2 linked regions of the Medicago truncatula genome follow. Each later gene encodes a partner of the first gene's protein in a complex. Links are inferred from orthologs where the notes say so. Each region holds a gene or a part of one and is shown on either strand. Other genes may lie near its edges.

Region 1 (8,050 bases):
ATTTCAGCCACAAGTTAAGCTGAAAAAGAAAAGCAAAAAGATACACCAGTGAGATCGGTAGATATCTTACCATTAACCTCAACAGTTTGGTTCATTGTTCGACTTCTTTCTGTTTCTTGTTGATCTTCAACATATATTTCCATCCCCTCATATACATCAGATTGTTCGGCATTCAAAGCAGAAACACCACTCACATCCTTGTCAGCTATTACTTGCTCCGTTGCATTGCACTTTTCAACTTCAGTCCCACAGACAACTTCATGTACAATATTGGTTTTGCCATCAACTTTATCATTCCCAATTGGCATATTCAATATCGAATCTATCGTTTCCATAATATCAACAACAATATTAGAGTTGGCATCAAATTTATCATTCCCAAAATTCGACGTTTCCTCAATATCAACAATACTGGAATTGCGGTCAACTTTACCATCATTCACAAACGGCATGTTCAATATTGAATCAATTGTTTCCAAAATGTCAGCAAATAGTGATGTCGACGGGTGACCTGCTGCCTCAGCAGCAGCATCCATAGCGCAAGAGTCAGTGCCAACTATTGATTGATACCTCGCTTCCCTTTCCGAAACCACTCTATCCAACTTAACTGCGGCGGCATTCTCAATCTCAGCTTCTCCACTCAAATGCTCAACTATCTGACCACCATATTCCACAGACTCGTCTACGGTTTCGCCAACAACTGTGGATATATACCTCTTTTCTACTTCTTCCATGGATATAATAAACCTCTAAAACTTTTTTATATCTAACAAAAATCAAAACTTCAAATTTTCAATAAAACATTCAATTTTCATTGACCAAGCTCAAAAAATGAAATCTATAGAGACCCTAATGCAATAGTTTCCTAAAATAAACCTAGTTTGATAACAACAAAAGTAGAAACGATAAAGAAACAAAAGGGAAGAAAAATAGAGTAATGTAGTTACCAGGTAGGATTGGAGTTTGCGATGAAAGACTGCGACTGGGTGGTGAGTGAAAGTGACGCGAGGTTTCAGCGGTTCAAGTTCTTACCCTGCACACAAGCGATTTATCAAATCCATAACATACTATTACTAGTAACTACTTCTTCCTCATTTGACTTTATTTTTATCCCTAAATATTTTTCTTTTTTGAATAATTTTTGTTCTTATAAACCCCTTTTCAAATTACAATGTATTTATTAATTTTTCCTAAATATACTCCTAATTTATACTACTAACTTGTTTTGAAATATAAAAAGTCAAATTTAATATGCATACAAACAAAGGATAATTTGATAATATTAACACACAAAATAAACACATTAATTGCACTAACAACTTTTCTTAAGAAATTTGAAAAATGCAAAAGGTATATAGGAACGGAGGGAGTACTATTTTTTTTATTAGATTATTCCATCGAATCAGTTTTTTATTTTGAAGGGAAATAGTCAATAGTTAGTTAGTGCTCACTTGGACCATGATATATCCATTAATTTTACAAATCATCATACACCTAATATAAAAAGTTCATAAATCGATTGACGTTTTGTAAATGGATCATGAACGGTTGTCATGATCACTCGGTTGTTAGGGACATCATATTTTATATGTAGAGATAGAGGCGGGGTCACGTGAGGACATAGAATGGTCATAGTTTATCCATTAATTTGTGGAAATGATTTTTTCTCCTAAACGTGTCTTCTTTTCTCACTGGCGACAAACAGTGAACATGAATGTGAACCTTCATCATCCACCATCATTCATGTTGCGATCGGAAACACCTCCATCCCTTCTCCCTGTCGATCTCTCATCTTTGATTCTTTATTTTCTCAATCTCTCCACAAACCTTAAATGAGTAGTTGTAAGTGTATCTCTGATGGTTCATCTATTTAGTAATAGTAATGATATTACTTCAATTTTCTTTTGTTTGTTAATGAATTTGATTTTTTATTTGGTTTTCAACTTTAATTTTCCATAAGTCTAATCAAATTGAAAGTGATTATTCATTATGAGACTTAATATATCATTTGGTCCGCTTATTTTTTGTTTTCATTTTGATCCCCTAACTATAAAGTGTTTCAATTTGGTCCCTCAAATCTTCCGTCGTTTACTATTTTGGTCATCTCCGTTAGTTTTTGAATGTATAATATTTTTAATATGATTATAACTTTTTTTTTTTTGAAACGGCAAAATATTATTAACCAACAAACCATATCTAAGCACTAACAAGCTTGGGTGGAGAAAAAAAAAACAAAGAAGGGGAAATCGGTTGCCTTACTAACACCCATATCTAATTATTTTCCTTTTCTTCTTTCTCATTCCTTATTCTTCCTCTTGATCTTCATCATCTTCAACACTATGTTCATGTAAAACCCAAAAAAAACTTAAAGAAACAAACCCATAATTTTTTTTGTTGAATCCTTCACTAAAATCTCAAATTAATTGGATTCAATTACTTAAAAAAAATCCAGAATTGAAACACAAGAATGAAACCTATCACCCTCCTTCTTCCTCAATCATCATCGTTCCTTCACACCCATCTCCAGATCTCTATCCTCTCTTCCACAAAACCATCTCCACGTTCGATCTCATCACTGAAATCGTCACCAACCTCACAATCCTTCTCGTTTCCCTCCAAAGTTTCAACCTTTAACCTTTTCTTAAAACTCCATTTCCCAACTCATGCTAATTCAAATCCACCATTTCCTAAAAATCCGAATCCAAATTTCTAGTTTCCACCACCAATGAATCCGAATTCAAATCTGAATTGGAATTCCTTCTCATATTCTTCCTTTGGAGTCTGAATCTGAATTCAAAGAGAAAAAGTGTAGAAGAGAGTCAAAGAGAAAAAGGGTTGAATTTGAATCTCTCTATTCTGATAGTTTGAACCGTAGTAGGTCTGTCAAAAAGTCAGGTAAGCTAGGCAAGCTTGAAACCAATAAGAGTGGACTCAAGAAATATGGAAGGAAAAGCTGATGCTACAAGTGCCGAAGAAAAAAAAAGGGTTAAATATGATTTTGATCCCTATAAATATATCAATTTTTCGTTTTAGTTCCTCTAAAATTTTCCTTCAACTTTTAGTCCCTTAAAAATTTTCAATCTTCACTTTTGGTCCCTCCTTTAAAATAAAATCATATGTAGAATTCGTATTTTTGAATTAAATTTTGCAGAAAAATTCATAATATTATAAGAATATCTCCCAAAAAAATTAGAATTTTTTAAAAGAACATGAATTTAATATAAATTTTTATATTTTTGATCGTTAAAAATTCATATTAAATTTATGTTTTGTTAAAAAATTCTATTTTTTTTTTAAATATTTTTACAATATTCTACACGTTTCTGCACAATTTCATTCAAAATACTAAAATTAACTTTAAAATAGGGACGAAAAGTAGTGATTGAAAATTTTATAGGGACTAAAAGTTGAATGAAAATTTTAGAGGGATTAAAGCGAATAGTTGGTATATTTATAGGGATCAAAAACATATTTAACCCAAAAAAAAATATGGATGTTCGTGAACACCAAGTTGTATTGAATGTTATGGTTTGTTTGTGTATAATACTTTATACTCTATATATATTTTGGTTTTAGGCTTAATATATCATTTGATCCCTTAACTTATTTTTTGTTTTTATTTTAGTCTCCTAACTATAAAGTGTCTCAAACTGATCCCTTCTTTTACCGTTACATTTTTTGGTCCTCTCTGTTAGTTGTTAACATCAAATGTCTAATGTGAACCGTATTTAAAGGTGGTCTATCATAAACCTTATTAAATTTTTAAATTTTAACCCTTTAATTTTTTCTTAAAAAGATAATTGTTGGATCAGGTAGGGTCTATTGTATTTTATTATGAACCACTAACACCTAATATTTTTCTCACTTTTCTTCATCTTCTTCATCAATTAACCCAGAAAAAACAAAAAACTTAGAAGAACAAAAAACATAATTTTTTCTTCAAATAAAAAACATAATTTTAATTTTTTCTTTAAAATAAAAACCTAAAAATTACTACCACACCATCGCCATCTTTCTTTCATTTTCCCTAACATTCTTAAAAGAAATTACTACCCAAAATGAAAACAAAAAATAAGTTAAGGATCTAATGATGTACAGTTACACTTACAATAAGAATTTAGAATATATTATAATGAGACAAAACAATTAACAATTTTTAATTATTAATTAATTAATTTTGATTGAGTTGAGATTTTGGGATGTGCTACAAGTATTTGATTCTCCTTCTATGCCAATTTTAATAAACTAGTTTGCCTTCTTACAAAAATATATTAATTTTATTGTAAAAAATATTAATTAATTAATTAATTAACTGGAATATTAGGGAATTTTTTTATTTTTTGAGGGAGGGATATTTTTCTCTTCCCAATAAATTGTTTTTATGGGCAATTAATTTAATTGGGATATTTTTAATGCAAGAGATTTGAAGCCACACTGGCACACACTACAGTTAAACCATACCGGTTTAAACTACCATCCCAAACCCGGTTCAACCACCGGTTTTTTGCATACAAAGATCTTCTTCTTTCTTTTCACTTCCACTACTCCATTTTCATCCATTCCTCCTCACTGCAAAAACAATCTCCACTCTCTCCTCTCTTCTTCCTCCAGATCCCAACCTTTTTCATTCACATTTCCCTTTCCCCTTGCACCCCCCATCTCCCCTTACACCCCCTCTCACTAACTAAAACTCCTCACTATAAAATCAATGTCCTCTAACTAACTCCGCTCCATAATCCAAATGGATTCCCCACCTTCTCAACAACCGTCGTGGGGAAGATCACCAACCTTTTCCACCACCCATCTCAACCGCACAACCTCCACATCTTCATCAACCTCTTCCCCATCATTCTCCAAAGACTCTTCCACAATCCAATCTCTCTCTTCCATCCTCAACAACCCTCTCTCTTCCACCACAATCTCCTCTCCCGAATTCACCCCTATCTCCTCCACCAAATCCACCTCCACTCTCACCCGATCCGATTTCCTTCCATACCTCTCTTCCCTCTCCGATCCCTTCCACCGCTTCGACGAAATCCGCAAACACGCTAACAACGAGATCTCAACTATCTCCGACGACGGCGGTGCCGGAGAAGCACTCGTCGCGTGTCTCCGTGAAGTTCCTTCGCTATACTTTAAACAAGATTTTCATCTCGAAGAAGGCGCTACGTTTCGTGCGGCGTGTCCGTTTTCTACGTTTGCTGAGAACGCGATTTTGCAGGAGAAGCTTTCGCAGTATCTTGATGTGGTTGAGCTTCATCTTGTGAAGGAGATCTCTTTGAGATCGTCGTCGTTCTTTGAAGCGCAGGGTGAGTTGCAGGATCTTAATGGGAAGATCGTGGAAGGATGTACGAGGATTCGTGAATTGAAGGATACGGTTAGGCTTATTGATTCGGATTTGGTTGAGTCTGCGAGGCAGATTCAGTTGCTTAATGGTACAAGGACGAATTTGTTGGCGCTTCAGCAGAAACTTAGGCTCATACTATATGTTAATCAAGCACTCTCTGCTCTCAAATTGGTTCGTTTTTTGAATTTTTGTGTGAAGATTCTATGTTAGTGTGTGCTAGATTTCGCTTTACAATCCTCATTTTTAGATTTTGAGTTTTTTGATTCAATTCATTGATTTTAGAGAAGTGTTTAGGTTTTGGTGTTGTGAATGTTAGAAATTTTACTGAATAATGTTATTGAGAATTGTGGAACAATGACACGTCAACACTGATAACAATTACTGAAAATTGCATGATTGAACGTAATCACACATGTGTGTCGGACTCTGGACACGCCTTCGATTAGAAGTACTATCGGTGCTGCAGATATTCCAGTTAATCTTATGCAGTTTTAGTTCTGTTAGCTAGTGAATAATTCAGAGTTTTGAATTTCGAATGTTTTTATTTTGAATCGTTGTAAGAATGGAGAGGTGTTACTGCTGTAAATTTGGAAGCTATACTGAATAGGATTAATGGATTATTGAGATTTGTGGGGAAACTATTTGCAGTTTTCTTTGGGTTGTTGTAGTAGCAGTTCTGTGAGCTTGTAATTAATCAATTTATGCAACAGGTTTCTTCGAAAATTAGTATGGCGATAATTTTGTTTGATTTTCCTATGTTTCCCTTATTAGTTTAGTCGTTTTTTATGAATGTTTGACAACTGGAAATCCATTTTAAGTTGATATATTTTGCTGTGATACAGCTTGTTGCATCTGCAGATTGTGCTGGAGCACTGGATGTAACTGATGATTTGCAACATTTGCTGGTATACTTTAATTATTATATGATATTTTCTGAATATTATTCTTAACTACTACTTCTTGTTTTCATGATCGTAGACTTAGTTTTGTTCTTTATCTTTTCATCAGCACTATATGTGTTTGACCTATCATGACTAGGGATGTATCTTAAGTCTTGACTTATTATGATTTTTAGTTTAGTCAACTTAATAGAATATGATGGAGAACTCAACAGAAGTAATTCCTAAATTTTATTCAGTTCAAAAAATCCTAGATACAATGTAGTTGGTATCCTCTACTTAGAATATATTTTCCCCTACAATTATAATTGCTTTGAAGCATTGAAATTAGAAAGAAGGTTTATGTTGATTCCATTATCCATATTGATCACGATATATTTACTGTGATATGCGGAGGTACTGTATTATGTTCCTTTTCTTTGCATAAGCACTGAACATGTTTAGATGTTACCCGATCTTATTGTGGATGGGTAATGTCTTAGTAAATGTGTGTAGCTGATATCAATCAGTGTTTGGGTAGCAGATACCAATCATAATATTGAATTGTGCCAGTTTCCTTTTAAGTTACAGCTGACATCAATTACTTACATTGTCGAACTTATCTAGTTTCCTTTTTAGTCTGTTAATGGCACATTCTATGTTTTAACATCAATGGGATTCCTGAAGGACGAGAAGAAAATTTTATGCTAATTTTAGTCTTATTGTTTCCTGTAACTTTGGTAGGATGGAGACGAGCTCACTGGCTTGCATTGCTTTCGTCATCTTAGAGATCATGTGACAGGCTTTATAGAATCCATAAACAGGTACACCTTTTTTGATGTCCTGATCTATCAAGATTGTGTATTCCGTTAACCTGCATCTGAAAATTCATTTGACAGTGTTTTCTACTGCTTTTTGTGATTTTTGATCCCCTGTAATAATGGGAAGAGAATAGGGTTGAATTATAAGGTTTCTTTGGATAGCTCTGTTTTTGCTTTTGATCTTTAGATGGTGATAGGGAAGTCTACACTCTGCTAATGGCTTTGATGGGTTGAAAAAATGTTTTGGGCTTGCATTGCACTTGGCCTATCTGTGAAATCTTTTGTTCTTATGGTAGAAAAATAAATTGTTTTGATAAAGAAGTAGGGGGATGCAACCATTGAAAATCAATATGCCATCCTAAAAGAAACAGAAGTGAAAAATAAGACAGTGGAGAAAGATGAATCCACATTTATCAAGTTTACCAATTTGACTCTCAGAGTCCTTAAGCACCATATAGAAGCCAAAAGCACCCATTTAAAAGTAGTGAATTTTAACTTAGGTTTATAAGAATTTGTATATAAATTCTTGCCTAGATTTTGAATATATAAATTTATAAGAATAGGTGCCTGTGGATACAAAACATTTGTACCGCATGAATCTTGTTCAGTCAGCTGCTGATTATTCAGGTTGGTCTATCCAAGTAAAACACATCATTTTGATTAATAAGAAAGAAAAGAGAGATACAGAATAATAGAGAAACGAAGCAGCAATTGAGATCAAGGTAGCCAGGATCGAGTCCCAGCACGTAGGATCGCACGATCTTACGTGCTTTCCCCACCCAAACGAGCTGCGACCTTGATCTGGGTCGTTTTTGCCATTTTTTTGGTCAGGATCAAGTTTCTGCAGCAGAAACGCAAGAAAAAATGCGCTGCGCTGGCCAATATGGGCTGGGTTTCGCGAACCGGGGTCGGGTTAAAAATAAAACCCGGTTTTATATGTAAAAACGAAACGCGTTTCTTTCATCTTCAACTTTGCTAAACCCTAGCCAAGCAGTGGCCGCGAT
Region 2 (7,899 bases), on another chromosome or scaffold:
ATGAAAATATATGCTATCGATGTGGTGGCAAAGGTCATTGGTCTCGTACATGTCGTACTCCAAAGCATTTGGTTGACCTTTATCAGCAATCACTGAAAAACAAAGGAAAAAAGGTTGAAACTCATTATGCTTATAATGATGGTGATGATGCTGATTATGATATTTATGGTGACCTGGATACTACTCCTTTGGATATTGGTGATTTCTTTGAAGATCCAAATGGAAAAATTGATCACCTTATTGGAGATGGAACCGTGAAGAAGTAGTTTTTTTTTATGATAGTAATAAAGTCTTATGTTTTAGAAAGTTTTGAATTTCTCCATGTTAAGTGTGTCTTTGAATTTCTCAATATTATTGACAATAAATGTTATTTCCTCGTCGTTTAAACAATTTCTTATCATTCTTATTCTTTTTTTTTTTTTTATAGAATGAGTAGCTATGGAGAAATGTGTCTCGCTGATAGTGCAACTACCCACACAATTCTCAAAGATAAAAAATATTTTTCTTACCTATTAAAAGGAGAATCAACCGTTAATACCATATCTGGTACTATAAAGATAATTGAAGGCTCCGGAAGAGCTAATATATCATTATGTGGAGGGACAAAATTATATATTAAGAATGCGTTGTACTCACCTAAGTCTCATAGAAATTTATTAAGTTTCAAAGATATTCGCCTAAACGGATACCATCTCGAAACAAGAAACGAAGTAAGTGTTGAATATCTTTGCATCACAAAACATGACTTAGATAGAAAATGTGTATTGGAAAAACTACCTACTTTTTCCTCTGGATTGTACTACACCTACATTAGTACAATTGAAGCAAATGTAATTGTAAACCAGAAGTTTACAAATCATGATAATTTTGTGGTTTGGCATGAACGGTTGGGCCATCCCGGATCTATAATGATGCGAAAAATAATTGAACATTCATGTGGTCATCAATTGAAGAGCCGGGAGATTCTTCAATCTAATAAATTTTCATGCACTTCTTGTTCACAAGGGAAGTTAATAACTCGACCATCACCAACAAATATTGGAAGTGAATCTCTAAATTTTTTAGAACGCATACATGGTGATATTTGTGGGCCAATACACCCACCGTGCGGACCATTTAGATATTTTATGGTTTTAATCGATGCATCAACAAGATGGTCACACGTTTGTTTATTGTCAACTCGCAACCAGGCGTTTGCGAGATTGCTAGCTCAATTAATTAGAATAAGAGCTCACTTCCCTGATTATCCTGTAAAGAAAATACGTCTTGATAATGCTGCTGAGTTTTCATCTCAAACATTCAATGATTATTGCATGTCCATTGGAATTGACATTGAACATCCTGTAGCACATGTTCATACACAAAATGGACTTGCAGAATCATTTATTAAGCGTATACAGTTAATTGCAAGACCACTTCTCATGAGATGTAAACTCCCAATTTCCACTTGGGGACATGCAATTCTGCATGCTGCAACATTGATTCGCATCCGGCCAACCAGTTATCATGACTCTTCCCCTTTGAAATTGGTTTTTGGTCAAGAACCTAATATTTTCCATCTGCGAATATTTGGATGTGCGGTGTATGTTCCAATTTCTCCACCACAACGCACTAAGATGGGTCCTCAAAGAAGGTTGGGAATATATGTTGGATATGAATCTCCATCTATTATAAAGTATCTCGAACCCACGACAGGAGATTTATTTACAGCTCGATTTGCTGATTGTCACTTTGATGAATCAAATTTCCCAACATTAGGGGAGAGAAAATGCAGCTGAAAAAGGAGATCAGTTGGAATGAACCTTCATTGTCTCATCTTGATCCTCGAACTAAACAATGTGAACTGGAAGTTCAAAAGATAATTCATTTGCAAAGTTTAGCAAACCAACTGCCAAATGCATTCACTGATCCAAAAAGTGTGACTAAATCATACATACCAGCTGCTAATGCTCCAATAAAATTGAATGTTCCTGTTGGACTATCTCATATTGCAAACGAGTCTCAACCACGCATGAAGCGTGGCAGACCAATCGGTTGCAAAGATAAAAATCCTCGTGCAAGAAAAGGAGCTAGAAGAAAAGACGGCCCAAATGAGGATATAGAAACTTCAACAGACCCTTCTGACATAATCAATATTTCAGTTCCAGAAGAAGCTGATCAGGTACCTGACATACATGAAAATCAAGAGATCTCAATAAATTATGTCACTAATGGAATACAATGGAACCGACATGAAGTCAACGTTGACGATATTTTTGCATATAATATAGCGCTAAATGTAATGAATGATAACGAGGATCATGAACCAAGGTCTATTAAAGATTGTAAACAAAGCGAGAATTGGCCAAAATGGAAAGATGCAATTAAAGCAGAATTATACTCGCTCAACAAGAGAAAAGTCTTTGGACCTGTCGTCCGAACACCTAAAGGAGTGAAACCAGTTGGGTATAAATGGGTGTTTGTGCGAAAACGTAATGAAAATGGTGAAATTGCAAGATATAAAGCAAGACTCGTTGCTCAAGGATTTTCGCAAAGACCTGGGATTGACTTTAATGAGACATATTCACCTGTAGTTGACACAACTACTTTTAGATACTTAATTAGTCTTATAGCTTATGAAGGGCTAAATTTGCATATGATGGATGTGGTTACTGCCTACTTGTATGGCTCACTTGATAGTGACATCTACATGAAGATCCCTGAAGGATTTAACTTACCTGATACAAATAGTTCAGGATCTAGGGAAGACTACTCCATAAAATTAAATAAGTCTCTCTATGGGCTAAAACAATCTGGACGCATGTGGTATAATCGCCTCAGTGAATATTTGCTAAAGGAGGGATACAAAAATGACTCTGTTTGTCCATGTATTTTTATGAAAAGATCTGAAAATAAATTTGCTATAATTGCTGTCTATGTTGATGACATAAACATTATTGGGACTCCCGAAGAGCTTCCAAAAGCCATAGATTGCCTGAAGAAAGAATTCGAAATGAAAGATTTGGGAAAGACAAAGTTTTGTCTCGGATTGCAAATCGAACATTTAAATAATGGAATTTTTCTGCATCAAGAAACTTACATAGCAAAAGTGTTAAAACGTTTCTACATGGACAAATCTCATCCATTGCCTACTCCAATGGTTGTTAGATCACTAGATGTGGAGAAAGATCCTTTCAGACCTCGAGAAGAAGGTGAAGAACTACTTGGTCCTGAAGTACCATATCTTAGTGCAATAGGAGCATTAATGTACCTTGCTAATTATACGCGTCCAGATATATCATTTTCTGTTAACCTATTATCAAGATACAGTTCTTCACCTACACAAAGACATTGGAATGGGGTCAAGCATGTACTTCGTTATCTTCGAGGTACAATGGATATGGGTTTGTTTTATCCTAAAGTACCCAAACTAGAATTAATTGGTTATGCAGATGCAGGTTATTTATCAGATCCTCATCATGGTAGATCACAAACAGGTTATTTGTTTACAAGTGGAAATACAACAATTTCATGGAGATCTGTGAAACAGACAATAACAGCAACATCATCAAATCACGCGGAACTTTTAGCATTACATGAGGCAAGTAGAGAATGTGTTTGGTTAAGATCCATGATTCAGCACATCCAAAAGAATTGTGGTTTATCCTCCGGAAGAATGGATGCAACAATAATTTACGAAGATAATACAGCATGCATCGCTCAGTTGAAAGAAGGATACATTAAAGGAGACCGAACAAAACACATTTCTCCAAAATTCTTTTTCACTCATGATCTTCAGAAGGATGGTGATATCAGCATTCAACAAATTCGGTCGTGTGATAATCTTGCAGATGTTTTTACAAAGTCGCTCCCAAGTAAAGTTTTTGAGAAACTTGTACTAAGAATTGGTCTTCGCCGTCTAAGAGATATTTGTCTTCATGAGGGGGAGAAATAAATGTGTTCTGCGCTCTTTTTCCCTTCACCAAGGTTTTATCCCATTGGGTTTTCCTGGTAAGGTTTTTAACGAGGCAATTCAAACTCAAAAGGATATTGTACTCTTTTTCCTTCACTAGATTTTTTTTCCCACGGGGTTTTATTTTAGTAAGTTTTAATGAGGCATATCCTCGATGGACATCCAAGGGGGAGTGTTATAAATATTAATATTGGATGTCCAAATAGCAAATGTGTTAGTGGGCCATACTACTAGGTTTTGGGCTTAGTTCATAAGCTACTCTATTTCCCTATAAATAGAGCTCATTTGTAACATTGATACACACTAGTGAATAAGAATATTTCTCTCTTCTTCTCCTTCTCTCTATTACTGTCTCTATTTACTTATATTCATAACAATAAAGATATTTTAATCAAATTAGAGGGGGGCGCGAGATGTGCTTAGGGTGGAAAAAGAAATTAATTCACTCTAACTAGAAAAACTGGCCAAACCTAAAATACGAGTCCATTTTCACTTAACAAAAAAAAAAAAAGCATCGTCTTCCCCAAATCTCAAAAACCAGTTTACCTTCAATTCATCATTTCACAGATCATAGCAAGAGAAATCAAATTCGCTTAACACATCAAAAACAGTGTTCAAAATGGGTACATCAGATGAAGTACAATTGGACGATAAAGCAAAGAGAATGCGCGATCTGCTTTCCAGTTTCTACTCTCCAGACCCTTCCAATTCCTCCAACTCTGCGATCACTTCCCCTAAATACGCTTCTCTCGATGACATTAACTCCTCCGAATTCGATCCCGATCAATACATGAACATTCTGGTAACATTAGTTTCATTGCATTTCATTGAATTTTTATTAAATTGAACTGAATTGGTTGATTGATTAATTAATTGATTATTATGAAGGTTTATAAATCGAATTTGGAAGGTTTACTTCAACGACATGTTGAAATGGCAGCTGAAATTAAGAATCTTGATACTGATTTGCAAATGCTTGTTTATGAGAATTACAACAAGTTCATCAGCGCCACGGATACTATAAAGAGGTATGTAGACACCGACATTTCTGATCAAAGGTGTATCCGGTGTGTGTCTGACACTGACACATGCGATTGCATTTCAAATAATTATCGGCGTGTTAGTGTTGTGTTCGGTGTCTTGTGTCGGTGCTTCATAGCTATTTTTTCTCTTGCTTTATTTAGAGTGTGTTTTGTGAAAGAACCGTTGTATTTGGGTTTTGTTAAACAGGATGAAAAGTAACATTTCAGGGATGGAAACTAATATGGAACAGCTTCTCGACAAGGTAACTGTAGTATTAGATTTATGGAATTCAATTTCATTTTGACTGTGTGTGTGTGTTTGCGCATGCGCGCTTTTTTATTGAAAAGTGAAATGAAAAAAGGAAGATAAGGGTTGAATTTGATAGGATTCGCATTTTTCTTGCAATGTAGATAATGTCTGTTCAGTCAAGGAGTGACAATGTGAACACTTCTCTATTTGACAAAAGGGAGCATATTGAGAAACTGCATAGGACTTGTAATCTTCTTCGCAAAGTTCAGGTATCAAAGCAATTGTCCATGTCATTGTTCATTGTATGGTTGTGTTTCCACATATCAAATCCGATGCAAGTTGGATTTTTGCTGAATGGACCTAACAATGAAAAACTTATTCTTTTAGTGTGGCCCCTGTGTTGAATAATCTTTCTACATCTTTATAATGCATGATAGTTTTACCTTTTAACAAGTGTTTCTGTGATATGATATGACTGACACACTTTTTACCCTTGTCGAAGAGTAGTTTATATATGATCTTCCTGATAGACTTGGCAAGTGCATCAAGTCAGAGGCATATGCAGACGCAGTCAGGTTTTACACCGGAGCAATGCCGATTTTTAAGGTTGCTTTTTCCTTATATGGTTTCTAATTCAATCCTTTGATTATTACTTTTACACGCAACATATCAATCTAGGTCTCAGATGAAATATCTTGGTTATATCCTCTCTCTATCAGGCATATGGAGATTCATCATTCAAGGACTGTAAGCAAGCATCTGAAGAAGCAATAGCTAATGTAATAAAAAACTTGCAGGTATACTTCTATCATCTTATCGTGCTCTTCAGAAATGGGTTTATCAGTCAACATTATTTCAAGCCAGGGGAAATATGGAGTATCAGCCCTTGGATTCAAATTAATGGTTGAGATCAAAATACTCAATTAACATAATCGTGTAACTTATTTGCACACGACCTCTCACAACTGTTCAAGTCCATAGTCACTCATGCCTTTTCATCTTTCCACCAGTAACGATCAACATGGAAAATACCAGCAAGCACCAGCTACTACCATGCCACCGTCTTTCATAATATCTATAATTTTAGTAGAAATAGTTGACAATTACATGTTCATCTACATAAGGGATTTTTTTTTTTGAATGGCACATAAGTGAATATTTTTTGTCTTTTGATTGCAACTTTGCATTGACGTTAGGTACGAGGAAAGATTGAAGTTTTTTTTTTTTTTTTTAATTCTTTTTGACTAATTTACTTACCTCCTGTAATCGAAACCTGCAAAACATGTAAAAAATTCCCAATTCATGTAATTCAATTCAATCCAATCCAACACATTGAGAGAAGGGGGAAAACAAACGAAAATCAATTTCAATCCAATACACAAACATAATGTTTTTTACAGCAAACCCGTTGGTCTTTGATTTGAGATTTTAATGCTCAAGGAAGAATAGAAGTAGCATCGTCAACCATGATTGTAGAAGATAAGGAGCTGCAGTTCACAAAGGGTGAAGGGAGAAAACGGTGTGTAAGAGGAAAACAGGGGAGAGATTAAGTGTCATGTGACTCACTGAACTCATTTAGTAAGATGATTTAATCTCAACCATGAATTTTATTCCAAGGGCTGATAATTGACCCTCTCACTCTCACATAAGAATAGGCTTTCTCACTAGATACACTCCCTATATATATATGACCCATGCAAAAAGAATACTAAGACTAAGAAGGTTCGTTCAATAATGTAACCAACCCTTATAGAAATAATCCCAAAATAAGATGAACCGTGTCTCTTAAAATTACTAGGATCATTTTATGACTTTACATTTCAATGAATAAAGGTTGTGTTTCATTTATTTTAATTGATCTCAATTTGTTAATATTCTTACATATAATATAAGTTGATTTTTTTAAAAAATCTTTATTTCTTTAATGATAGAAGTGTCCTACCGAGAGTAGGTGTCGGCTCTCAATCCCTTGGTCTGTCTGCAAGCTATGTCTGAGCTAAAAAAAAAAAAAGTTTTTTAATTGGGCATTACTAAGGGGTGTATGACACTTGTTCAATGCATGTTCAAGGGGTGTTTGGGATGTCACCCAACACAGCAGTTTGGAGAGGTGTCCTTGCTTTATAGGATGACAGTCAACTTAAAATCAATGTTATGCTAAAATCAAATAGTTAGTTTATTATCATTGGTATTGTGATCTGACTTTTTTCTTCTCTCTAACCAGGGGAAGCTATTCTCAGATTCTGAATCAATACAAGTGAGAGCAGAGGCTGCTGTGCTCCTTAAGCAGTTGGATTTTCCGGTTTGTACTGTTTTTTATTTATTTATGGAATTTCATTTTGTACTAGTAGCTAGTAAATATTTTCTGAATATTTAATTTTAAAGAGCCAGCCTTATGATGTGAAATACTTCTTTTTATTGCCCTGTATGGTTAGTTTTGGGTCCTTCGTGTGCCCTCCTTTTAATAGAGAGAATGAACATTGTTTCTTTTGGTGTTATTGATTTAGTTCATATGATAGTAAGTTTTCTGTTTTTATTTTCTTTTTTCCTGAGAGGAAGTTTTCTATTTGTTGGCAGGTGAACAATTTGAAGACAAAATTACTTGAGAAATTAGAACAATCCATTACAGACATTCAGCTGAGCCCCGAGGAAATAAACAATGGTTCAGGAGACCTTTC

Evidence for each region.
Region 2: vacuolar protein sorting-associated protein 54, chloroplastic (region 1) and vacuolar protein sorting-associated protein 51 homolog share a complex: the UniProt entries of both Arabidopsis thaliana proteins name them as parts of the golgi-associated retrograde protein (GARP) complex. The link is inferred for Medicago truncatula from reciprocal best matches to the Arabidopsis thaliana genes VPS54 and AT4G02030.

What each region holds. Positions count from the first base shown.
Region 1 is NC_053043.1:20,989,167-20,997,216, reverse strand, and holds the start of vacuolar protein sorting-associated protein 54, chloroplastic, read left to right. Parts: upstream 1-4,537; 5' UTR 4,538-4,741; coding exon 4,742-5,518; intron 5,519-6,189; coding exon 6,190-6,252; intron 6,253-6,969; coding exon 6,970-7,049; intron 7,050-8,050. Other genes in the region: uncharacterized protein, read right to left, coding at 71-734. UniProt on the Arabidopsis thaliana protein: Acts as a component of the GARP complex that is involved in retrograde transport from early and late endosomes to the trans-Golgi network (TGN). The GARP complex facilitates tethering as well as SNARE complex assembly at the Golgi.
Region 2 is NC_053042.1:42,783,560-42,791,458, forward strand, and holds the start of vacuolar protein sorting-associated protein 51 homolog, read left to right. Parts: upstream 1-4,422; 5' UTR 4,423-4,571; coding exon 4,572-4,754; intron 4,755-4,840; coding exon 4,841-4,980; intron 4,981-5,182; coding exon 5,183-5,237; intron 5,238-5,385; coding exon 5,386-5,493; intron 5,494-5,731; coding exon 5,732-5,830; intron 5,831-5,943; coding exon 5,944-6,021; intron 6,022-7,445; coding exon 7,446-7,523; intron 7,524-7,798; coding exon 7,799-7,899. Other genes in the region: uncharacterized protein, read left to right, coding at 1-266. UniProt on the Arabidopsis thaliana protein: Acts as a component of the GARP complex that is involved in retrograde transport from early and late endosomes to the trans-Golgi network (TGN).